Pelodiscus sinensis: one gene and its partner. Each later gene encodes a partner of the first gene's protein in a complex. Links are inferred from orthologs where the notes say so. Each region holds a gene or a part of one and is shown on either strand. Other genes may lie near its edges. The genes, in order: LMAN1 and MCFD2.

Region 1 (12,563 bases):
TCACGCTGAGTTCAAAAAAAGAATTTGATAAGCTCAAGGACAGATGAATGAATGGCTATTAGCCAAGATGATCAGGGACACAACCCCATGTTCTGGGTGCCCCTTAACTTCAAGCTACCAAAAGCTGGAACTGAATTTCAGAAAATGGACTGCTTGAAAATGCCCTGTTCCATTCATTCCTTCTGCAGTTTCTAGCACTGGCTATTGTCAGAGACAAGACACCGGGGTAGATGGATCATTGGTCTGATCCACTATAGTCACTCTTCTGTAAAGTATCTGCCTTTAATTTCGTGTTTATGTATCAATGACGTAATAGTACAAAGAACACTTTTCTGATAACATTAAGCTGGAAAGGGCTTCATATCATATAGTAAATAAACTTGTTTGACAATGAAGTAATTTTACTTATAAAGCAATACTTTTATATTTAACCCATAATAAAGATATGGTTTTCATATTTTAACATGCACCTATATATTCATATAATACTTCCTAGTAAAAATATCTCTGAGCACTCTGAATATTAACAAGGCTTCTAAACATCCCCCTCAGACTCATGTTGTCCTAATTTTACAACTAACCTAAAGAGCATGTAAGGGACTTGTTCAAAGAAGAGGCCAAAGACTTGTTCCATAGAAGAGACAAAAAAACCCAAAACTCCAAATCCTGCTCTATAGTCAAAGAACTAAACATATACATGTGTTTGATATAGAAGACAAAATAGGAAATGGGAACATTATCAAGTGGTTATTGACACTTGGCTTTATTAACGGGCTTGGTACTGACCTTGAACAAGTCATGTCAAAATAATTAGCTGAGGAACCTGAACTAGTAGCTTGATTTTCAGCATACCTTTTAAGAGCCAAGCCACTTATTTAGATGACTAATTATAGATCAGTAGTTTTAGCCTTACCTCTGCCACAATTGTGAAGCAAGATTCTACTTGCCTAAAAGGTGCACTGTGAGGCTTAATTAAATAATAATACGTGGAAAGATAATCCATTAGCACCAAATTTCTGTTAGGCAATACATATGAGGAAAGCATATGTAAAGAGTAAGACAGCTGAAGTCACCAGCTACCCTTGTGAAATGGCATATGGAAATCCCAATTTGTTTATAGCCGTACTGACCAGACACCTAGTTAATAAGAAGAACATAAGAATGGCCATACTGGGTCAGACCAAAGGTCCATCTAGCCCAGTAGCCTGTCTGCCAACAGAGGCCAGCACCAAGTGCCCCGGAGGGGGTGGACTGAAGACAATGATCAAACGATTTGTCTCCTGCCATCCATCTCCAGCCTCTGACAAACAGAACCAAGGGACACCATTCCTACCCCCTGGCTAATAGCCTTTTATGGACCTAACCTCCATGAATTTATCTAGCTTCTCTTTAAACTCTGTTATAGTTCTAGACTTCACAGCCCCCTCTGGCAAGGAGTTCCACAGGTTGACTATGCGCTGTGTGAAGAAGTTTCGTTTATTAGTTTTAAACCTGCTACCCATTAATTTCATTTGGTGTCCTCTAGTCCTTAAATTATGGGAAATAATGAATAACTTTTCTTTATTCATCCTCTCCACACCACTCATGATTTTATATACCTCTGTCATATCCCCCCCTCAGTCTCCTCTTTTCCAAACTGAAAAGTCCCAGTCGCTTTAACCTCTCCTCATATGGGACCAGTTCCAAACCCCTAATCATTTTAGTTGCCCTTTTCTGAACCCTTTCCAAGGCCAAAATATCTTTTTTGAGGTGAGGAAACCACATCTGCACACAGTGCTCAAGATGTGGGCATACCAAAGTGTTATACAGGGGCAGTAAGATATTCTGGGTCTTATTTTCTATCCCTTTCTTAATCATTCCTAACATTCTATTTGCCTTTTTGACCGCCGCAGCACACTGTGTGGACGTTTTCAGAGAACTATCCATGATAACTCCAAGATCTCTTTCCTGATTTGTCGTAGCCAAATTAGCTCCCATCATACTATATGTATAGTTGGGGTTATTTTTTCCAATGTGCATTACTTTACACTTATCCACATTAAACTTAATTTGCTATTTTGTTGCCCAATCATTTAGTTTTGTGAGATCTTTTTGAAGTTCTTCACAGTCTGCTTCTGTCTTGACTATCTTGAACAGTTTAGTATCTTGAAAAGTTTCGTTCCAAGGATTTGACTATACTGCATCAGTCCCTCTCCTATTAAATTGTTTTACAAGACTTGATGTTCCACCCTGCCACAAATGGCACCATATTTACCAGAGCAACAGGGGAGGTGAGGTAATATCTTTTACTGAACCAACTTCTTCTGGTGAAAGACAGGCTTCTGAGCCTCCAAAGCTCTTCAGATCTGGGAAAGATATTTCAAGCACCATAATACAGTTATGAATTTAAGATCCTTCTAAATATGTTACATATGCAATTATCCTTTCCGCCGTACATTTAGCACCAATGCTGTGAGTACCTTTCCCAGATCCAAAGTAGGGATATCAATGTGTAGATGACTACACCATTAACTGGTAATCCTGGGTTTATCGGTTAATCCCGTCGACTACACGCATTCTCCCCCCCCACACACACTTGCTGCCTCAAGGGGGGGGGGGAGCTAGTGCCCACAGGGGAGCTGTCTCTCCACATGTGCTGGCTCCATGGACCTGTCTGACCCGCCTGTCCTGCCCCATCCCCCCTTGTTGCCTCCTTCAGAGGCAGCAGGGGGAGGGGGATAGGCAGGTGCCGCCGCCACTCCCCCCCCCCGCTTCCAGGGCTGCTGCCTATTTGAGAGTCAGCAGCCAGAGGGGGAAAGGGCAGGGCAGACTGCTGTGGAGCAGCCTCTGCCTGCGATGGGCCCGGGGCCCTCTATGGACAGAGGCTGCTCCCCAGCAGCAGCCTCTGTCCTTGGGGAGCTTGGACCCCCCTCCACAGCCAGGGCTTGCTACTGCAAAGCTGCCTTTGTTCACAGGGAGCTCAGGTGCCCCACGGGCAGGGGCTGCTGCTATCCCGCACTGCTGCCTCTGTATCAGAGGCGGCAGCAGCATGGGGAAGTAGGCCGGAGTCAGTGTGCATGGGGAGCTGATAGAGAGGTAACAGCACAGAGGTGGCAGGGAGCTCTCTGGGAGTGGGACCAGAGTGCACTGGCTGCAGACCCCATCCCTGGGGGATATCAAATGGTTGTGTCACCGCTAAAAATTGATGTGGTTACATGACTATTCAATTACATGCTATCGGACATCCCTAATCCAAAGAAGATCTCTGTATAGCTTGAAAGCGTCTCTCTCTCTCTCTCTCTACACAAGCTGGGCCAATAAGAAACACACCTTATCTTACCTGCCTTGTTTCACTAATAATCTGGGCCCAGTTGGGATACAGCATAAGAACGGCCATACTGAGTCAGACCAAAGGTCCATCTAGCCCAGTATCCTGTCTGCCAACAGTGGCCAATACCAGAGGCCCCACAGGGAGGGATCACAACAGGTAATCCACACATGATCCCTCCCCTGTCACCCACCTACAGAGAAACAGAGGCTAGGGACACGATTCCTACCCATCTGGTTAAATAGCCATTGATGGACCTAACCTTCATGAATCTATCTAGCTCTTTTTAGACCTGTGTTAAAGTTCTAACCTTTACCACATCCTCTGGCAAGGAGTTCCACAGGTTGATTCTGCACTGAGTGAAGAAAAACTTCCTTTTTGTTTTAAACCTGCTGCCTATTAATTTAATTTGGTGATCCCTAGTTCTTATATTGGGGGAAAAAGTACATAACTTTTCATCTGTTAGTCTATAAGGTGCCACAGGACTTCTAGTTGTTTATAACTTTTCCTTATTCACTTTTTCCATGCCAGTCATGCTTGCATAGACCTCTATCATATCCCCCTTTAGTCTCCTCTTTTCTAAGCTGAAAAGTCCAAGTCTTTTTAATCTCTCTTCGTATGGGACCCATTCCAAACCCCCTAATCATTTTTGTTGCCCTTTTCTGAACCTTTTCCAATGCCAACTACAATTACACAAGATACACATTGTAATGACATAGAGCTGAAGCTTCAGTGCAGTGATGAGAAAATATTTTTTAAACAGTCACGCCGCATTCTTCACCCGCTTTTACTGAGACTTCAAAACCCAGCTGTTCTACCAAACACAGCAAAGGGCAGCAGGGAGGGAGGGAGTGAGTGTATGGAAACATACCTCTTCCAGGGTCTGCACCGGTTGGCGGGAGCAGGGAGCCTTAGGCAGGGTGAATAAGCTCCATGTGTTTCCGTGGGGTATCCCCACACCCAGGGCCAGTAAGAATCATGTCCCCATAGAGCCTGGTGCCCCTGCACCTGGGCCGTGCCAAGGGGGACAGGTGTCTCCGAGGGCCACAGGGGACCAGTCACAGGGGGCTAGCCCAGGGAACTAGACCCCCCCGCAGCCGGAGGAGGTCGGCAGTGCGGAGGGCAGGGCCAAACGAGGCAGGCGCCCCCCCACCCGGCAGGAGCCGGCCCGGGGGCGGGCATGACACAGGTCACACCTGGCCCGGCGCGGGCGGCGGAGCGGCGCGTACTTACTGCCCGTGTGGACCCAGAAGGGCACGGAGCCGTCCCCCTGCACCAGGTGCGGCCCCTTGAAGCTGTACTTGTACTCGAAGCGGCGGTGCGGCTGCGCGCCGGCCGTGACCGCTCCCGCGGCCCCCAGGCTGCTGGCCTCGGCGGGGGAGAGCAAGCGGCAGCCCAGGCAAAACAGCGCAGCCCACAGCACGTTCCCCGCGGCCAGGCAGCCCCGCTCCATGGAGACCGCCATCTTGGGCTTTGCCACGGGGAGCCAAGCACGGCCAACAGGGCGCTGCCTGATTGGCTGCGAGGAGAAGGGGGCGGAGACCGCCGCCCGGCCAAAGGGCGCGCAGCGCGTGGCTACATGTCAGCGCGGCTCGGGGGCGGGGCCTCTCTGTCCTTGTCCCCGCCCCCTAGTTGCCCGCCCTCGGCTCCTGTCTCACTCACTCACTCATTCACGTTGCCTCCCCCCCCCCGCCCTCTGGGATGTCTCGTGCCCTCCGTGTTCCCCTGCGACCGCTCCTGCGGGGGCGGACCTGGACATGGGGAGCAGGCTGAACGGGGAGGTGGGCAGCAGGAGGAGCAGGAGGGGGCGGGGCAATTGCACCATGATGGGGTGCGCATCCAGGAGGCCCTCAAAGACATAGAATCATAGAATCATAGGACTGGAAGGGACCTCGAGAGGTCATCGAGTCCAGCCCCCCGCCCTCAAGGCAGGACCAAGCTCCGTCTACACCATCCCTGACAGATGTCTATCTAACCTGTTCTTAAATATCTCCAGAGAGGGAGATTCCACCACCCCCCTTGGCAATTTATTCCAATATTTGACCACCCTGACAGTTAGGAATTTTTTCCTAATGTCCAATCTAAACCTCCCCTGCTGCACTTTAAGCCCATTACTCCTTGTCCTGTCCTCAGAAACCAAGAGGAACAAATTTTCGCCTTCCTCCTTGTGACACCCTTTTAGATATTTGAAAACCGCTATCATGTCCCCCCTTAATCTTCTTTTTTCCAAACTAAACAAGCCCAGTTCATGAAGCCTGGCTTCATAGGTCATGTTCTCTAGACCTTTAATCATTCTTGTCGCTCTTCTCTGTACATGTTCTCACAGGCCCCGTTGTAGGGTCGCCTCGGTTTCCCTGGACAACTCCCTCTCTTCCCCTTCTCCCTCCCCTCCCCTTACCTCCCAATACACAATGTTTGGATTCACCCAAAAAACTTGTCGGTTTTTATTTACAAAGGGGGGAGAGAGAGTGGGGACCTTGAACTGGGAGGGGGAAAGGAGCTACTCCTGGGAGGGGTGGCCCCTGCGACCGCTCCTGCGGGGGAGGACCTGGACATGGGGGCAAGCCGCATTGGGGCAGGCTGAACGGGGAGGTGGGCAGGACGGGCAGGGTTAGGAGCAGGAGTGTCCATTGGAGGAGGGGCAGGGACAGGAGGAGGAGGGGCCATTGCAGGAGGAGCAGGAGGGGTCGGGGGCAGTGCTAGGGGAGGGATGGCGGGGGCATGAGGCAAGGCCATGCCATAATGAATGGCATGCGCTATGTGTGTGGAGAGGCTGGCAACAGAGTTTGCCATCAGCGCACAGTGTTCCTGGAAGGTGGCCCAGGCCTCCTGGCGCCACTGCAGGTCCGCCTCTGTGCGCCTGTGGATGGCAGCCTCTATGCGCTCGACGGCCTGCACATGGCACCGCAGGAGCTGGTCCCGGTGTTGGACGCGCTGCCTCCGTGGTTGGGCGGCTGAGGGTGCTGCTGCTGCCAGACTGGAGGGTCCCCCGCTCCTGGTTGGTCCCGCTGCAGGGAAGAGAAGAAAGGACGGGTCAGTCAGGCAGCCCAGCCACTGTCCCCACACCCCATGCCTTCCACCCCACCCCTGAGCCCAGGTGACACCACAGGGTAGTGTGGCTTGGGCCCCATCGGTTCCTCCCCTGCCTCCACCGTATTGTATGTTTGCATAGAGGACTGCCCCTGGAGTAGAGTCCTCCTCCATGTATTGGAACCCCCAGTCTGTGTCATAGGGGGTTGTGATGCTGCGGTTTTTCCAGGAGCAGCTGCCGGAGGGGGCCTGCTGAGTGGCACTGCTGGCTTCGTCCTCCGGCGCACTGCTGCTGCTGTCTCCCTCCCCCGTCGTGGTGGTCCTGGTGATCGGGGGGCGCACACAGGTGTCGGCTGTGACATCCGGGGCTTGTGGAGCTGGCTGTCCCAGGATGGTGTGGATGGTCATAGTGGGGGCAGGTGTCTGGTCCTGCTCCCCGGCCCTCGCTGGCCTGCACATAGCCCAGGCGAAGTTCTTTGACTTTAGCCTGGACCTGTTCCAGGTTCCAGGCTGGATGGCCCTGCTGGGCTAGCGCCTGGACTATGCGGCCAAAGATGTCGGCGTTGCGGCGCCGGGACCGGGTGTCGTGGAGGCTCTCTTCCTCCTCCCACAGGTCCAGGAGGGTCTCCAGCTCCTCCAAGGACCACGATGGGGCTCTTCTTTTGCAGCCCCTGGGGGCCTCCTTCTCTGGGGGTGCGGGTGGCTGAGTGCCCGGAGCTGCCATGCTGGGCTGTGAGGTGGCTGCTGGGCACGGCAGGGGCAATGCTGGCAAGCCTCAGGCCAGAGGTCTGAGGCAAGCAGCCTGCGGCTACTTTAAGAGCTCAGGTTACCAGGAAGTCCTGGGCGTCTACGGGGTCTCGCAGCGTCCAAACAGCTTTTTTCCGTTTAGCCTGCTTTTGCGCAAACGTCTTAGCTAGCTGTCTACACTTGCCCTTTTGCACAACAGTTTTTCGCAAAAAGGACATTTGCCCGAACGGGGAGCGTCAAAGCTTTTCCGGAAGAAGCACTGATTTCGGACAGTAGATTGTCAGTGCTTTTGCAGAAAATCAAGCGACCAGTGTAGAGAGCTGGCAAGTTTTTCCGGAAAAGCGGCTGATTTTCCGGAAAAAGTGGCCAGTCTAGACACAGCCGGAGAGGAGCAGGGCTCCGCAAAGGAAGGTGGAGGGATCCTGGAAAAGGGCGGACTCAAATGGGGGGCTATGAGGAGAGGGAAACGATGGAGGGGAGGGCCTGTTGGGGTAGATGAGCTGTCCAGCCTCACACAGTGTTCAGCAAAGTGGAGGGGCAGGGGTGTTGCCTGCTCAGTTGCATCACAAACACCCCCTGAAAAAGTCTCTCAAGGTTTCATTAAAGATCCAGAAAAGAAGGAAACAATATCACAGGCTTTGGAAAGCATCCAAACAGTAAATACGGCTTTTGTTTTAATGGCTCCCCGTGGGCCCTTTTCCTTTAGCTATAGAGGCAGGAACCCACCCACCCCTGCCTTTCACAGTCTTTTAGGCTGCATTTTAAAGATGGTAATATGTCCTTTTTGGGGGGAAAGGGAAAGAGTTAGTTGAGATGGGGGAGGGTGTTAGAGACAACCTGAAAGCCATAAGAAACACATACAAATGGAAAGAACAGCAAAGATAAAAAATGCACCTTCCATCTCCAGTGTTAACTCCATTGGCGGATGCCCTGACTCAAAGTGGTTTCTATTATATCCAGTGTTTACAGTTTGGTTCAATGGCTCTCAGCAACCCTACTTATAGACATTGTACCAGCATCCCTGGTTGCCAGCATAGAGTTGCCAGCTTTCTAACTGCAGACAGCCAAGCATCCGTAGGTCCTGCCCCCTCCCTCCATCCTTCCTCCAGCTGTCCTTCACTCTCTCCCATCCTCACTCATTTTGACCAGGCTCGATTCCGGGTGAGGTTCTGATGATGGGGAGGTAGACTCAGGGTGAGTTCTGGAGTAGGGCCAAGGATGAAGAGTTTGGAGGAGGGGGCTCCAGGCTGAGGAGTGGGGCCAATGGGTTTAGAATGTGGGAGGAGGCTCCAGACTGGGGCAGTGGGTTGAGCTGTGGAAGAGGATGAAAGTTGCAATTGGGGTTGCAGACTGTGCGGTGGGGCAGGGGGTAAGCGGTTTGGAGTGCAGGGCGGAGGGGGGTGAGCTCTGGGCAAAAAAGTAATTTAGTTAAAAATATATTTGAGAGAGTGAATTTGTCTGTTCATTCATTTGTCAAGAACTCCTCTTAAACGGTAAGAGGTAGGACCGCCAAATTTGGTATGCAGCTTCCACATTGCTGGCTGTTCCCTTTCGTCTGAAAGTGCACAGTTTGCTCCATTCCTTAATCTGGCTGGGGAGCACAGGGGGCAGATGAATGTGGACCTGCCCCAGCTGAGGGACAAGCATCTCTCCCCTGGATGTTCCTGCTGGAACTGCAGAGGCCATTGAGAGGTGGTTATCACCTGGCCCCAGCCTGCTGCAGTGAGAGAAGGCTGAGGTAGTCCTCTCTCCCAAGAAAAGCCTGCATTCAGAACCCCTCATCCCCAGCTCCATCCCAGAGCAATTATTTAAATGAAGAAAAACAAAAATTAGTTGAGTTAAGGACCCAAGCAACCCCAAGTAAATCTAGTAAAATCCTTTGTTATTGTAAAATCTTTGTAAACATTTTTAAAGTTGGTGAAAGTACATATACATATCTACTGTAATGGAGTTCACACAATGTAAATTAGTGTTCCCTTTTTTCTAAAATAAGTGAACAATGTTATGAACACACTAAACCTCTGTGACTGATTGTGAGGGTCTCGGGGTGCGATCACCCCCTCCCAGTCCGAGAGGGGGGGTCTGCGGACCCCTTCTGGTCCTCCTTTTGTCCTGTGTCGTCCCTGGGCCGCCGGTGTGGAGTCCGGGCCCCTGGGGTGCGATCACCCCCTCCCAGCCAGAAGGGGGGGTCAGCGAACCCCAGGCCGTGAGTACCCGCCGAGCGGGATGGGGGGGCCGGAGCCCCTAGCCTTAGGTCCTCCTCCCCCAGTCCGGGGTTCTAGTTTGGTCCCAGTCGGTTAGTGTGGCTGTCGGGTGCTGGACGCTCCCCGTGTGGAGGGAGGGGGACCCGGTCCCGCCCTCTCTCCGGGTCCCAGCCCGGGGCCCTGAGCGCCGGGGCCGCTAGCGCCCCGGCACGGTGGACGAGGGGGGTGGGGATTCTCCCCCCTGTGGCCCGTCCACCCACGGCCGCCACAAGCGCCCTGCCCCGGGCTCCTTCCTCCCTCCTGTTGGGTCTGCCGTCCGATCCCCGTCGCCCTGGCGCCTACCTTGACTCGGCGGTCTGTGGTGTCTCGTGTTCCGATGGCGTCCCAGGGGTGAGCTCTCCAGCCCTGGCACGCTCCTGGCCGTCCCGGTCTCTCCTGACTCGGCGCGGTGGGGTCCTCCTGCCGTCTGGCGAGGGGCTGAGTGCTCGCCAGGGGCAGTGGCTGTCCCGGAGGCCCCGGGACCAGCGCCGGGCCGGCAGCCGGGCTGTGTGGCGCTCACGCTCCGTCCTGCGGTGGGGGCTGCTCCTCCGCCGCCGCGAGGAGCCTGCGCCCCGCTTCTCCGGCGGCGGGCACTTTTAAACTGGCCCGCCGCGCCGGCCGCCGCCCGGGGCCCCGCCCCTTCCGGGCCCGCCCCCGCTGGCGGCCCTCGCCAGTTGCCGTGCGCCCCGGCCCCGCCTTCCCTGCGTGGGCCGGCGGGGGGGGGGGCCGCCCATCGGCTGCCGGCGCAAGCGCGGGGGAAGCGCCCCCGCCTGCCGCCCCCGGCGGCTAGAGTTGTGGGGTTGCTGGGGGGTCTGCGGCCGGCCGGCAGAGCCCCGCCGGTGAGGACTCCGCTCGCCCCGCCCCCGGGAGAGTGACGGCCGGCGGGGGCTCCGCTCCCCTCGCCCCTGGTCCGGGGCCGGCCCGTCACACACCCCCCCCCTTACCGAGGGGTCTCCCTCATCCCCCACGGGCTCGAACGCCCGCGAAAAGAAGTCAGCGTTTTGGTGTTTTTTTCCCGCTCGGTATTCTACGTCGAAGCGGTAGGGTTGTAATGCCATATACCAGCGCGTTAGGCGCGGGTTCGAGTTTTTCATGGAATTTAACCACACAAGCGGGGCATGATCCGTGATTAGTTTGAATTTATTGCCCCATAGATAATACCTTAGGGTCTCAATGGCCCATTTCACCGCCAACGCCTCTTTCTCGATTGTGGCGTAGTTCCTCTCCCGCGGTAGGAGTTTCCGGCTCAGGTAAAGGATCGGGTGTTCCTCTCCGTCATGGTCCTGGGCCAGTACTGCTCCTAAACCGCATTCGGATGCATCTGTGTATAAAGAGAATGGTCTTTCAAAGTCAGGCTGCCTCAACACTGGGGCTTGGACTAACCTGCGCTTTAGTTCGCGGAAGGCCTGGTCGGCTTGTGCCGTCCACTGGATCTTGTTGGGGTGCGCGTCCTTGGTTAGTTCAGTCAGAGGGGCTGCGATCGTGGCAAAGTCCGGCACAAATCGGCGATAATATCCCGCCAATCCCAGAAACCCTCGTACCTGCCTCTTCGTTGATGGTGGCGGGTAGTTCCGAAGGGCTTCCACCTTTCCCAACAGTGGTTTCAGTTGCCCTCCTCCCACGGTGTAACCGAGGTAGGACACCTCCCGTTGGGCGAAGTGGCACTTTCGGGGATTCGCTGTGAGGCCTGCCTCCTGCAGCGCTTGCATCACGGTTTCCAGATGCTGGAGGTGCTCTGGCCACGTCACGCTGTATACGGCGATGTCATCGATGTAAGCTGCTGCGTACCCCTTCATGGGCTCCAGTACCTGGTCCATGACCTGCTGGAAGGTCGCTGCTGCTCCGTGGAGTCCGAACGGCATCCGGCGAAACTGAAACAGCCCGAAGGGGGTGGCGAACGCGGTCTTCTTCCTATCCTGGGGTTCCAAGGGAATCTGCCAGTAGCCTTTCGATAGGTCTAGGGTGGTGATGTACTTAGCCCTCCCCAGGCCCTCCAGCAGCTCCTCCACCCGTGGCATGGGGTAAGCATCGAATTGCGAAATCCCATTAACCTTTCGAAAGTCAATGCAGAACCGCACGCTCCCGTCTCGCTTGGGGACCAAGACTATGGGGCTGCGCCACTCGCTCTGCGATTCTTCTACCACCCCCCATTGTTTCATGGTCTGCACCTCCTGCCGGACGGTGTCCCATACCTTTCGGGGGAGGGGTCTATGAGCCTCACGCACTACCTGTCCTGGTTCGGTATTGATACGGTGCACCCCTACCTTCGCTGTCCCCGGGGTCGCCGTCAGAACGTGGCGGAACCGGCGCAGGAGTTCTTCCATTTGCGTCCGTTGGTCCACCGTCAGCTCTGGCCCTATGGACGGGGTCTCTTCCTCCGCGTGGTCGGCTGGGGAGGGGCCGAGGTCTTTGTCGCGGTCCGCGGGCGCCACTAGGAGTCCTTCCCGGGCCACCCACTTTTTGAGCAGATTCACGTGGTAGATCTGCGTGGCCCTTCGTCTCCCGGTCAGCCGCACCTCATAATTCACGTCTCCTACCTTCCGGACGACCTCGTAGGGGCCCTGCCACGCCGCGAGGAGTTTGGACTCCTGGGTGGGCAGGAGCAACAACACTCGGTCGCCGGGCTCGAACTGGCGGTTCGCGGCCGTGCGGTTGTAGTAGTGGGCCTGTCGTGTCTGGGCCCTCAAGAGATTCCACTTTGCATAGGCGCCGAGACGCCGTAACTTCTCTCGGAGCTGCAAAATATACTGTACCGTGCCCTGGCACCGGGCCGACTGAGCCTCCCAGTCCTCCCTTAGGATGTCCAGGATCCCCCGGGGCTGCCGCCCATATAGTAGCTCGAATGGGGAAAATTCCGTGGAGGCTTGGGGTACCTCGCGGATGGCGAACATGAGGGCGGGCAACATCTGGTCCCAGTCCCTCGGGCTGTCCTGCACCACCCGCCGGAGCATGTCCTTTAAGGTGCGGTTGAATCGCTCTACTAGTCCGTCAGTCTGGGGGTGGTATACTGACGTCCGCAGGGTTTTAATGCGGAGGAGTGTGCACAGCTCCTTTATCAGCTGGGAAGTCACGTTTGTCCCCTGGTCCGTGAGAATAGCCTGCGGGAACCCCACCCTCGCAAAAATTTTAAGCAGTTCTGTCGCCAACGTGGGGGCCTTGACGTTGCGGAGCGGGACGGCCTCCGGGTACCGGGTGGCGTAGTCGACCACCACGAGGATGAACCGATGCCCCGCCCG
Region 2 (12,047 bases), on another chromosome or scaffold:
GCATCTGTAGCAGATACAGCATGGTGAACTATTTCTTAAATTAATAAAAAAGTCAAATCAAAATATAAGTACACCCTCTTAGCTGTTGTAAAATGCTATAGTGTCCAGCAGTGATCAGATCTGCACCACTGTTTAAGAAATGTAAGTACTATTAGAGGGAAATTTGATTTAAATCAATATTTTTGGAGATTAAAAAAAAAAAATCTACCCTGGTTAAATTTATATTTTTATAAAAACAAAAACTCACATTAAAAATTAATTTGACTGTACAGAAAATGCATATTCTAATTGGAATTACTTATGAGAACGTATTGTTTTGAAGAGCCACTGGGGCAATTATAAATACTGCTCACCTCTTTATGTACATGTGATATAGCAGTGGCAAGTTCTAACCCATCAAGCAAATTATTGCCATCATAATCGTGCATTTTGAAGTAATGGAGCTGTAACTCCTGTGGGGACATCTCAGATTCTGGTTTGTCAATTACACCTTCTAAGTGTTCCATGATGTGGCTGAAAATACAAAATAAAGTCAGCAGTTAACATATAAAAGCCTATTTATATATTTAACAGTTCTTTGCTCAAGGAACTAATCTACAACAGTTTGGATGAGATTCTATGTTGAGTCTGTTAGAGAAGTGGCATCAAAAACTGGCATCAAAAACTTTTCCTCTCCCCCTCTTCCCAATCTACATATATATGGTGTTTTTAAGCCACCATTGTGTCCTGATCATGGTATGCTAGGATCTAAAGAGATCTGCCATAATTTAGACAGTGTTGGGGGCCTGTCTAAATTAGCCTTGGGAGGCAATTGTATCTCCTTATGAGAGTCTTCCACAGAATCAATGCTGGATGAAGCCTTCCCCACCAGCAGCTTTAGGGCCTATTTATATGATGTGGCTCTTCTAACCACTGTAGAGAGAAGACAAGAATCTTACAGTGTAAGTGTTCATGATGCATATTCCCCCCCCCCCCCCCCCAATGTTTTTGTGGCCAATATACACAAGGAAAAACAGTGTATAAAGATAATTTTGACTGAGTTTTTCTATGCCATGTAGGGAGGGCAACCCTGATATATTGAAGTCCAACTTCAAAATGAATCACTGAGCAATACAAGTTTTACAGAATACAAAGAACATACTCTTTGTCTTGTACTAGGCTCTTATCAAGACGAATATTTGCTTGATGAGTCTCCTCTGTGTGACCCTCAGCTACAGAGGAAATTAAGAATGCAGACACTAGGCAGAATAGCAAATATGTGCTCAACATCCTTGTGGCCATCATGATCTCCTAGCAAGTGAAAAATACATATATTAATACATATGATAAATACATTCAATGAAATGCAATGTTTTCAATGTAATAAGCACAGTGGAAATATGAAGTCTCCATTAAATTGTAGGATGCAAAAATTTTCAGATTCCCAACTTGAAAATGTAGTATGTGCTGTGCAGCTGCTAATCTTTCTGGAGAACAAATCCACAATAAATTACTTGACTCTGTAAATATTGTCTAGTCCAGGGCTACTCAACACATGGCCAACGGGCCGCATGAGGCCCGTGGTGCGGTTTGGGTTTACGCAGGGCTGAACACGCAGCCCATGGGCAGGATTCTTTGAACATGGCCTCCACAGGGAACATGCTCCACAACAGTGAGGTGTCTCCCAGATGGGGTGAGCACTTAAAGGCGCAAGCAGATGGCTGGCTGGAACAGAGGCATAGAGGGTATTGGTGCTTCTAGCCCCCTGGGAGAAGCTGCCAGGAGTGCTGGGATAGCACTTTGTATTCATGCCCATCAATGTGAAAGAAGCTATTTGCATGTATATGCAACCATACTTAAGTTGTGGCCCTTAGAATGTGCTGAGAGTATCATTGTGGCCTCCCAGAGCTTCCAAAGTTGAGTAGCCCTGTTTTAGTCAAATAGTCATAGCAACTTCACTTAGATGCATTTTACAGTATTTTCCTTAAAAAAAAAAAAAAATAATAATAATTAAACTTACAGACCTTCCTAGTCCAACTAGGTAGCCTCCCTTAGATGTAAATGAAAGTGGGGCATGACATCATAAGCACTACTGGAAATATTTAAAAAACAAAACAGCAGTGGAAATGCTCAGATACCAGTTTAATGCAGAACATTCTTTCTTTATAGAAGTCCTAGTTTTAATGATAGAATTGTGATAGTCGAAGCTAAGTTTCATTAAGCTACGTTGATGAATCTTCTTAATCAACAGTGCATTATAAAATTGTTCAGAGTTTATATATTATTGCAGTCTTTGTTTCAATTATTTTGTGGCTCTGTCCAATGACAAAGTGGCTATTTTGAACGTGTAGTGCCACTACCCAAACAAGGCTTATGTTTCTGATATTTTGCGACAAAACATAAGTAATCAGTGTATAAAAATGGTACACTATTTAGACTCTTGGCATTCAATGTTCCTCTCTCATGAAAAGGGTATAAATCACTAAAGTCATAACTAATGGAAGTTAACATAGGTGAAAATAGAGCACAAATGCATTCTATCACATAATCCTAATTAACACAGAATAGTGTTAAGTCAAGTTATAAAAATGAACACTACCATGAAACAATACTGATCTCCTTTTGCAGAAGTTTCCCTGAAGAGTTAATGCCTAATAACAAATCAGGTCTAAAACAGAAATGTTTGCTATTCCACTTGTTTGTCAGAAGATTTAACACCACTTGAAATGTGATAGTAGCAGGTCACCCTGTAAATCCAGAAATACAAATACTAGTGTCAGCTTTCACAACTCTATGGACTATTGCCAGGAGGCTATACAGAGTTTGCATAACTTATGAAAATATTAGGTTTATTAGCTACGCATTTTAAATGGATCAAATATTTTCCACAACTACCTTCCGAACTACCTTCTTTGTCTTTGATAACAGGAAAAAAAAGAAAGCAGGGGAAAAAGAAACTTTTCCTACCAGGACACTAAAATAGTCACTGTACTTGCTCAGTGAAAGTTGAACTGAACCCATTTATTTTAGAACAAATCCCACAAGCCTGAAGACTGCAATTTACTAACTACTTTGGTGCAATTCCTTAAATGGCATGGTACTCATTTACAAAGCAAGACACCACTCCAGTAGTGCCACAGGTACAACAGTATTCTGAAAGAATATTAATACATGATATAGCACAGCAGCAAATCAGTTAGTGAATTTTGTTTGGACTGAAAAAGTTACAGATTGGAAAGGCAACATGGTCAGTACTTTGTCTATATAAGAGAGTTGCACTGGTTTATTTTAAAGCTGTTTTTAACTAAGGCTGTGTCTATATTGGCGCGATCTCACGCAAAAGCGGCTGCTCTTGCGCAAAAACTTGCTGCCTGTCTACACTGGTCGCGAGTTCTTGCGCAAGTACACTGACATTCTAATGTATTAAATCAGTGCTTCTTGTGCAAGAACTCTGATGCTCCTGCTCGGGGATAAGCCCTCTTGCGCAACTGTTCTTGCGCAAGAGGCCAGTGTAGACAGGCAACAAATTTCTTGCACAAGAAAGCCCTATGGTTAAAATGGCCATCAGAGCTTTCTTGCACAAGAGAGCATCTACACTGGCATGGATGCTCTTGCGCAAACGCACATACCAGTGTAGATGCTCTCTTCTGGAAGAGTTTTTGCACAAGAACCCTTCTGCAAAAGAGTTCTTGTGCAAGATCATGCCAGTGTAGACATAGCCTAAGAAATTAAGGCTATAACTACCCCAGCACTTTGCCCATAACACATGTCACTCAGGAGTGGGGGAAAAAAAACCACCAACTGCTCCCTCTCCCTGCCCTGACATAAGTTATACCAACAGAATTGATAGTGCAGACAGCTGTCAGCAGGAGATGCTCGCCCCCCCCTTTCCCCATGAGCAGTGGTAGCTATATACTCATATACCCAATATGGATTTGCACCAGTGTAAGGTGTAACAACTTAAATTCACACCTTCTCTTGTATACTGGTGCAATTTATAGTGATGCAAATTATTACTTAGGATATGAGTGACTGATTTCTGTCACTCAGGAACAGCTTAACCGAAATAAATCATTTTATACTGAAATAAGAGTGCCCATAAAGCCTTTCAGAATGGTCTAACTATATAGGCTTTAAAAAAAACCCACCTTAGACAAGATGTAAGATCCAGGAATTCCTGAATTCTACTGTTCTCTGACACTAATTCACTACATGCTAGGAGCAATTTTCAAACCCTCTCTGCAATAATTTCCCCTGTTGTCAATTAGGGATAAGAGAAGGCCACGTTTTCTGCAGACATAACTCCCCTGATTTGAAATTCACTTCCACCAGCAGAGAATTTTAAGAAGAGTCCTGAACATCAGCTCCTGATAATCTGCAAGGTAGATGCCCAGTTACAACAGTTTAGTTTAAAACGTACTTGACATCCAGCCCTTCACTGGGATGAGCTGAAGGTTTGTAAAACAATAACAAGCACCACAGCCTCCCCACCCAGCCGCTGTGCAACTGACGAGCGATTAGCAGGGAAAGAGACTGGAAGGCAGGAGAGCGGTGACTGCAGGGTCATTAGGTTCAGTTAATTGCCTGCGCCCGCTGCCCGTTTCCATCTACGTGTTACTGCAGCCCTGCTCGGCTACCGGACACCCCTCAAACAGCCCCCACGCCAGGGCCCTGAGCCCCCACCTACCGGCCCCGCTGCCGCGCGCCTCACGCGACCGGGTCTCCCCGCGATTACGCCGGCTCTGCCAAGGAGCCGGACTGGCTCTGCGTGACAGCGCCCGGTGTGGCGGGGCGCGCGGGACCGTAGCCCCCGCCGCCGGCCGCAAACCCATCGCAGCCGAGCTCAGCGCGGCCGGGGCGCGTCTCCGAGCGCGGGGGAGGTGCCGACTCGCCCCGCCCGCGACGCTCCGCAATGTGAGGCGCGGCCCGAACTCACCGGCTGCGTAGCCGACAACGTCCCGGGGCACAGCACCGGGGCACAGGCAGGTGCGCAAGGGAGTAGACCCAGCCGGCCACCGTCCCCAGGCGCATCTTTGACCCGACGCACGCTCGCGTCCTGCCACGCCCCCTCCCGCTCATTGGCTTTCGCCAGCCAGAGCTGGGAGAACGTCAAGGCTCCTGGACATTCCACGTGTAACGAAAATGAAGGGACAGGTGGGGGTGGGGGCGGGAGTGTGTCAGGTGACCAGCATGAAACGCTCCTTCCATGTGCCCCGCCTCCTCCGTGACTCCTGCCCCCATCGGCCTCTGCCTCTCGCTGCACCGCCCCCGGCAATGCGTCGGTGGTCAAGTGGGCGGGGCTTGGAGCTCACCCAGGAGGGGAGTCCTGTAAGAGCCTCCTCTCCCATGGTTTCCAAATAGACCTGCCCTGAGCCTGTTCCAGGCCTCTCCTTGGCCCCTCCCCCCACAAAATGCATCCCAGGCAGCAAGGTCCACAGCTGAGGTGTGGGGGCGTGGCTCTGCGTCCCGGAAGGGGCGGGGCCTCGGACGGAAGGGGCGGGGCGGAGACAGTCAGGCCTAGCGCTGCCTGGAGCGCGACACGCCCGGCCACTTGAAAGGGGCCCGGGACAGGAGCAGCGTCCGGCTCGCTCAGCTGCTGCGCCAGCGCCCACGAGTCGGGCGGGGGCTTCCCTGCGCGTGGCCCTGGTTGAACAAGTGCCTTGGTCGAGGCCGCTGTCCCGGTTCTGTAGCGCGGCGGGTGGAGGGGGGGGAGCACTAGGTTTGGGGGCAATTTTCAACTCTCGTGCGGAATTTTTCTCCCTCACACTTTGTGTGTGTTTGCACGTGGGGGAGGGGGCTTGTTTATGTCATTGGTTCTAGAAACGCCTCCTCCTCCGCATGGCAGCTCAGGAGTGTGTTTAGCAAGCACTTTGGTTTGCTTCTGTTCTGACCCCAATGTTATTTGCTTTCTTATACCAGTATTTTAATAGTGATAGAAATGTAGCCCTGTTAGTCTGGTGTAGCTGAAACAAAATACAGGACTATGTAGCACTTTAAAGACTAACAAGATGGTTTAGTAGGCGATGAGCTTTTGTGGGAGTGGGTCTGGCCCAGGAAAGCTCATCACTTAATAACCATCTTGTTAGTCTTTAAAGTGCTACATAGTCCTGTTTTTTGTTTCAGTATCTTAATAGCCTTTCTATGCCCCTGTGTTTACATTGTACCAGTCCACTCCCTGTCTCTTCTAGGAATGTTGCCTATCTCAAGAAATCTGTACAGTCATTTTGCTTTTGTAAACATTCATCACATTGTTATTAGGCCAGCTTTATTGACTAGTGCTCATTAATGAGCCAGATATAGTAATGAGGAAAAATCAGATCTAACATATAGCTTTCAAGGCTGCCCTGTCTCAAGAGTATTAGTGCTCTCTCTGGGGCAGACTGTTAGGAAAAGGGTCCAACCTCCACTTTAATTTGGAATGCTGATACTTAGATTTTGTTTCACCACTTATCAAGTGTAAATTCCTCAGGCACTATAATAGTCCTAACATGCAGTCAGTCTGTGGTGTACTCAGATTAGTCTTGCCACCCAAATAAGCATGCCTTAGTGATAGATGGTCCCTTACCAAAGATCACAGCAATATTTAGCCATTCATCTGAAGAAGTGGGTTGTGCTATCAAAAGCTCATGTTACCATCTACCTGTTTTAGTAGTATCTAAGGTGCTGCAATACTATTAATCTGTAACTGGAAAAACTTAAAAAAACCAACAAACTCAGCTACCCCCTGGGGTAATATTTAGGTTTCTCCACAGCCCAAAGGATCAATCACTTATCCACTGGCAGATGTACTTTAGTTCTCATACCAAAATGCTTACATCCAGTCCTATTATATGCTATGTAGAGATCAGGGCTGTACCTTGGAGGATGTGAGGCCTAACCCTAACCCTAACCCCCCATTTGCCCCTTCATATTTTGGGACAGGAAAGAGTAAACATAGTTTTTTGTCCTCTTTAATGTTCCACGCTATTCCATCTGTTGTTGATGGGCCTTTCTTGTTGGCCAGAATATAACATCTTCTGTGGGATATCAGCACTTCATACTAGTTAATGTCACTTTTCTGGCTGGTGATCTAAGGGGTTACCAAACAAATGCTGAAATATTACTTTATACCTTATAGTGAATATTACTTTATACCTTATAGTGCAGCAACTTACAAGCATCACATAAAGTCAAAACACATTCTTAGAATTCTAATTCCTGTTTTACTAATACTAACACACAGCTGAGTCAAACTCATTCCAGCTATGTATAAATCATTCAGTGGAGACATGGGGACCTTCATGAGAGCTGGGATATGAGTGTCAGAGAACGAAGGCAAAGGAAGGCATTGCCTACCCAAACAGACATGGTGGCCTTGCCTACACTCTGCCTTATGTCAGGCTTCTTCCTGTGTACAGCAGGCTGCTCTAGGCCCAGCACTGAGGCTGGTGGCCACCCGGTGCTCCAAGACCAGGAAAGCTGGGGCTATGGAATCACCCAACTCGGGAGGGGGGTAGAGACTGCTCTGCCTGGCAACCTGCCACTCTGGGATGTGGAACATGCTAGACTTGGGCAGGAGCCAGGAAGGAACCAGCCAGCAGACACAATGGTGGGTGGGAGCTGCGCAGGGCCATCCCAAGAGGAACATGGGGCCTGGAGCAACCCCTCCTCCCAGTGCCCTAGGCATGGTGCCCAGCTCAACCCTTCTGCAGATCCCACCCCTTCACTGCCCATGCTGTGGTTCTTCCCACTGCTACTCTGCTCCCTGCTGAGCCAGGAGATTACTGGGGACTCGGATCAGGGGTTGCTCTCTCTCTCCCCCCCAACTCTCACCACCGTGGTGGGAGCTGGAGCAGCCAGCCTGCTCTGCTCTACTCCTCCATGCTGCTCTTCCAGCCCGCTGCACCTCACTTCTCTGTGGCAGTGGGAAGTGGAGCATCCTGGGACCTGGGCACTCTGCTTCCTGCTGCCATGGTGAAGCTGAGCACAGCAGGCTGGGAGAGGGCAGTGGCGCAGAGCAAGTTGTTGGGTTGTTCTGGCTCCTGCCATCCTGGTGAGTGCGGGGAGGGGGAATTCCTGTTGCCATCCTGTGCAAAGCCTGTACATAGGACAGTTGAGGTAGTTGCTGTGGGGGGCCCTAAAGCTGAACAGCTATGTGGTTGGGGAACAGGGGCCAAGAGTTACAATGGGGGCTGGATTGGGCTCAGTGGGCACAGAAAGGGTAAAGCCTTGGCCAGAAGGGGTAGGGCTGCCATTCATTCACCATCTATGAGCTGGCACCTGGTCTACCAGCATTGCAATAGCACTATCACTGACTTTTGATGAACTTGCTCTTGACAGAAATGTTACTTAATTTTCAGAACTGGGAGTGACAGTGTAAAGCTGGGTGATCAGTAAAACCCTATAGAGATGGATGAACTCTTAAGTGGATCAGAGATTTGAAACAGATGTTCATTCAAACATTTAGCTCTGTTGGACTTGCTATCGTAATTTTTTGTAAACCAATTAAATGCTCAATGCAACTTTCTATGTGTCTGAAAATATCTTTGTTAGTACATAGGTAGGAATGTGAGAAGGCCTTAAAAGAAAGTACATTTCATCTTGTGTGCCTGGAAACATTCCACACCAAAAGAATTTTCTTCTTTGCCCAGCAAAACTGAGACTGTTCTGGGTTCAAAAATTTTAACCACAACTTAAAAAAACAGTATGTTACTTTACTTTTTGTGGCTAAATTATTTAATGGTTCTTATGTTTCCATTTTTCAGTACAGGCAGTCTCCGGGTTACATGGATCCGACTTACATCGGATCCCTACTTACAAACAGGGTGAGGCAACCCCTCACTAACTGCTTCCCGCCAGCAGACCAGGGAGACGCGAAGCTAGTGTCCCCCCCCCCCCCCCCCTCCCAGCAGACCAGGGAGACGTGGAGCAGCTTTTTCTCAGCAGACACCTCAGCTTGAGAATAAAGGACTGAGGGAAGTGAGGTGTGGGAGAATAAAACTGAGCTCTGGAGAAACGTTTGGCTAGAGTTTCCCCTACAATATGTACCAGTTCCAACTTACATACAAATTCAACTTAAGAACAAACCTACAGTCCCTATCTTGTACGTAACCCAGGGACTGCCTGTACTAGATACGTTACGGGTGCTTCCTGTTTTCACTTTAATACCTACTTCCGGATTGAAATAGATCTCAATATTTTAAGATGTTTTAGTCCAGAACACACACATTACTGGGAGAACAGAAAGTACTCATTATACTGAAGTAATCAATAGATAGTATTTTTTAAAAAATACAGTTTTGCCATAAGTTTCCCAGAATCAGAGAGGAGATTTTAAACTGCTAAAAAACTGGCAGTGCAGTGGGGCTAAGGCAGGCTCCCTGCTTGCCTTGGCACCATGCTGCTCCCAGAGGTGGCTGGCACATTCTTGCAGCCCCTAGCACTTGTGGTAGCTTTGCTAATTCTCTGCCAGGAAAACTGTGGTGGGAGGTAGGGGGTCATTTTAAGTGCTTTTATTTGTGATAAGTATGCTCTCTACTTGGAATGGAAAGTGATGGAATTGTGATAGGAACGAGAGAGAGAGATACATACACTCTCTCTGTCTCTCATAGGGTACATCTACACTTGCTCCCTATCTCGAGATAGGGATGCAAATGTAGTGTACTGATATTGATTTAAATATCCTGTGCTTAATTAACATAATTGCGTCCAGCTGCCATTTTGAAATCGTTACTACACGGGGCGTTTCATTTTGCAATAATGCGATTTCAAAATGGACGCAATTATGCTAATTAAGCACGGGATATTTAAATACTGTGCTTCATCAGCAATTTCAGTACACTACATTTGCATCTCTATCTCGAGATAGGGAGCAAGTGTAGACATACCCATACAGACTTACCTGACATTCTCCAGGTCCTTCATGGCATGGGACTGGTGGTGTGTGGGACTCAGGGCAGCACTTTGGGGATGGGTGGGTAGGTGGTGGGTAGGAGGCCAGGGCAGGGGCAGTGTGAGAGTGAGGGTTGGAATGAGGAGGGGTTCAGGGCATGGGGGCCCATCTGGCATGAGCCTTCCCCCGCGCCCAGCACCCTTCCACCCACCAGGGGCCTTTTCTCTTCCCCAACCCCCTCTGACCACCAGGGAAACAGCCACCAGCTGCCCCCCACCTCCTGCCCTTGCTTCTGCACCCTTTGCCCCTCTGCCCTTTGCCCCTCCTCACCCCCCCAACCATGATTCTTCCCTCCATCTCATTCCCAGCTCCCTGCCCTAGTGTGTGTGTTCGTGTGTGGTTTTGCATGTGTGGGCGAGCGCACGTGCATACATATTTCTTTTTAAGTACTGCAGAGCACTCAAAAGCTTTGTTCTGGCACTGTTTACTTACCTAGCAGGAATGGAATTTAAGCACTTAGGTCAGGGCTACTCAATTTTGGAAGCCCCAGGAGCCACAGTGATACTCACAGCACATGCCAAGGGCCACAATTTAAGTGTGGTTGCATATTGAAGGAACAGAATCTGGACACTGTATGTGAAGCAAGCAAGGGAGTTTGTTACACACACAGCACTGTCAGAGTGTCACATCGCTTGTGAGAACTCAGTGAACACTGCCAAACAATAGATTATAAATAATTATATAGGATGCTCAGTGGGCAGATCAAAGTGATGGGGCGGGGGAGGAGGGGGGAAGAAAGGGGCAGAAGATCCTGGACCCCTGGATAGGTGCTAATTGTGAAGCAAAATAAGAGTAATAATATAAAGTTACATAGGCTGCTTCTAGACTGGCATGAAAAAACGTTTCCGTTAAAAGTATTTGCGCAAAATCATGCCAGTCTAGATGCAGCCATTGTGTTTCCAGTAAAACAAATATTTAAACAAAGCAGACATCAATTATCAACTATGTGTTAAGTGGTGATATGTCTGTCAGCTTCAAGAGGTGTGTCTGCACGGATGAGGTCCACCTGGGGATTAAAGCAGAGACATTATGAGTACTTGACAATGGCACATTTGTTCCTAGCATCATTGAATGTGGCTTCTCCTGTCTCCCATCCTGGGCTAGGTGTGTGTGTGGGAGGGGGGCGGGTAACCATCATGCACTGTGTTTGTGTGCCAGTCCCAGACTCCAAATTTACAATAGGGATTCTTAACAGAATATCATAAACTGCCTCAGAAATTTTCATCCTACACATATACATGCAAATATATATACATGCAAATACATGCAAATAGCTTATTTCACCCTGATGGGCATGAATACAAAGATTAAGCCTTAAGCTGCGGTGCTGGACCCAAATGTGGCCAGTGTGAGCCAATCAGCACCTCTCAGGTCTCTGCCCACAAGCCTAAGCAGCCAGCACTTCCCACAATGCCCTGGCACTCCTGGCACCTCCTCCCTGTGGGCTAGAAATGCCAACACCCGGTACCCATCTGTTTCAGCCAGCCTGTCCGCTTGTGTCTTTCAGTGCTCACCCCACCTAGGAGATGCCTCGCCGTTGTGGAGTGTGTTCCGATGGAGGCCATGTTCAAAGGATCCCACACATGGGCCACGGGCTGCATGTTGAGTAGTCCTGACTTAGGTGAATGAAGAACTGAAACATTTTTCATAGTTTCATTTATGTTACGCTGAGCTGCACAATCAATGAAATGGCAAACATGAAAGTAAGCTGATGGACCTGATTGCAGCACACTGGTTAGAGAGTAGCCAGCTGGAGTGGGCAGGTCTGTAGATGATGCTGGTCACTATATATGGGTAAGGTTCCCATGCTGGTGCAGAGCATGGGTGACCTACTCCTCCCCTGCTGGCAACGCTCCTCTACAGGACCACCCCCCTGTGGTTCCTGGCTCCAGTGTCAGACAGTTGGGGGCAGAGGAGCAAAGCCCCAGCGCTGGTGGACCTGAGTCAGCACCCACAGTTCCTGAGTGGGACAGCCACAGCACCTCCAGGCTTCAGCCCCAGAGCTCTGGTGGCCAAGCAGTGCAGTTCCTGCCGCCCCAGCCAGCGCCCAGGATCTGGCGGTCAAGCAGATCCCCAGATTCCCCACCTCCTGCTCTGAGCTCCCACCCACCCTAATCCTCTGCCTTCAGCACCCCCA

What was found.
Region 2: the proteins of LMAN1 (region 1) and MCFD2 are in contact, whole or in part, in a cryo-EM structure (PDB 8JP5), measured with the Homo sapiens proteins. The link is inferred for Pelodiscus sinensis from reciprocal best matches to the Homo sapiens genes LMAN1 and MCFD2. Residues at the interface, in NP_005561.1 of Homo sapiens: His43, Arg44, Arg45, Phe46, Tyr48, Lys49, Ser51, Phe52, Lys53, Pro55, His56, Gln59, Ser60, Asp61, Val64, Pro65, Phe66, Trp67, Lys96, Phe265, Glu273, Lys279, Glu280, Ile281, Glu285, Lys286, Tyr289, Glu292, Phe293, Phe296; in NP_001164977.1 of Homo sapiens: Val59, Ile60, Asn61, Lys62, Gln70, Glu71, Leu74, His75, Phe77, Lys78, Tyr82, Asp83, Asn86, Asp89, Gly90, Leu91, Glu92, Thr95, Thr98, His99, Val100, Leu111, Glu114, Leu117, Ile118, Ile121, Asp122, Leu125, Asp129, Lys130.

Annotation. Positions count from the first base shown.
Region 1 is NC_134716.1:109,309,785-109,322,347, reverse strand, and holds the start of LMAN1 (protein ERGIC-53), read right to left. Parts: upstream 4,843-12,563; 5' UTR 4,773-4,842; coding exon 4,541-4,772; intron 1-4,540. UniProt on the Homo sapiens protein: Mannose-specific lectin. May recognize sugar residues of glycoproteins, glycolipids, or glycosylphosphatidyl inositol anchors and may be involved in the sorting or recycling of proteins, lipids, or both.
Region 2 is NC_134713.1:163,907,982-163,920,028, reverse strand, and holds the start of MCFD2 (multiple coagulation factor deficiency protein 2), read right to left. Parts: upstream 5,123-12,047; 5' UTR 4,916-5,122; intron 4,301-4,915; exon of another isoform or gene 4,128-4,300; intron 2,727-4,127; exon of another isoform or gene 2,582-2,726; coding exon of another isoform or gene 2,579-2,581; intron 2,072-2,578; 5' UTR 2,004-2,071; intron 1,291-2,003; coding exon of another isoform or gene 1,285-1,290; coding exon 1,142-1,284; intron 514-1,141; coding exon 354-513; intron 1-353. UniProt on the Homo sapiens protein: The MCFD2-LMAN1 complex forms a specific cargo receptor for the ER-to-Golgi transport of selected proteins. Plays a role in the secretion of coagulation factors.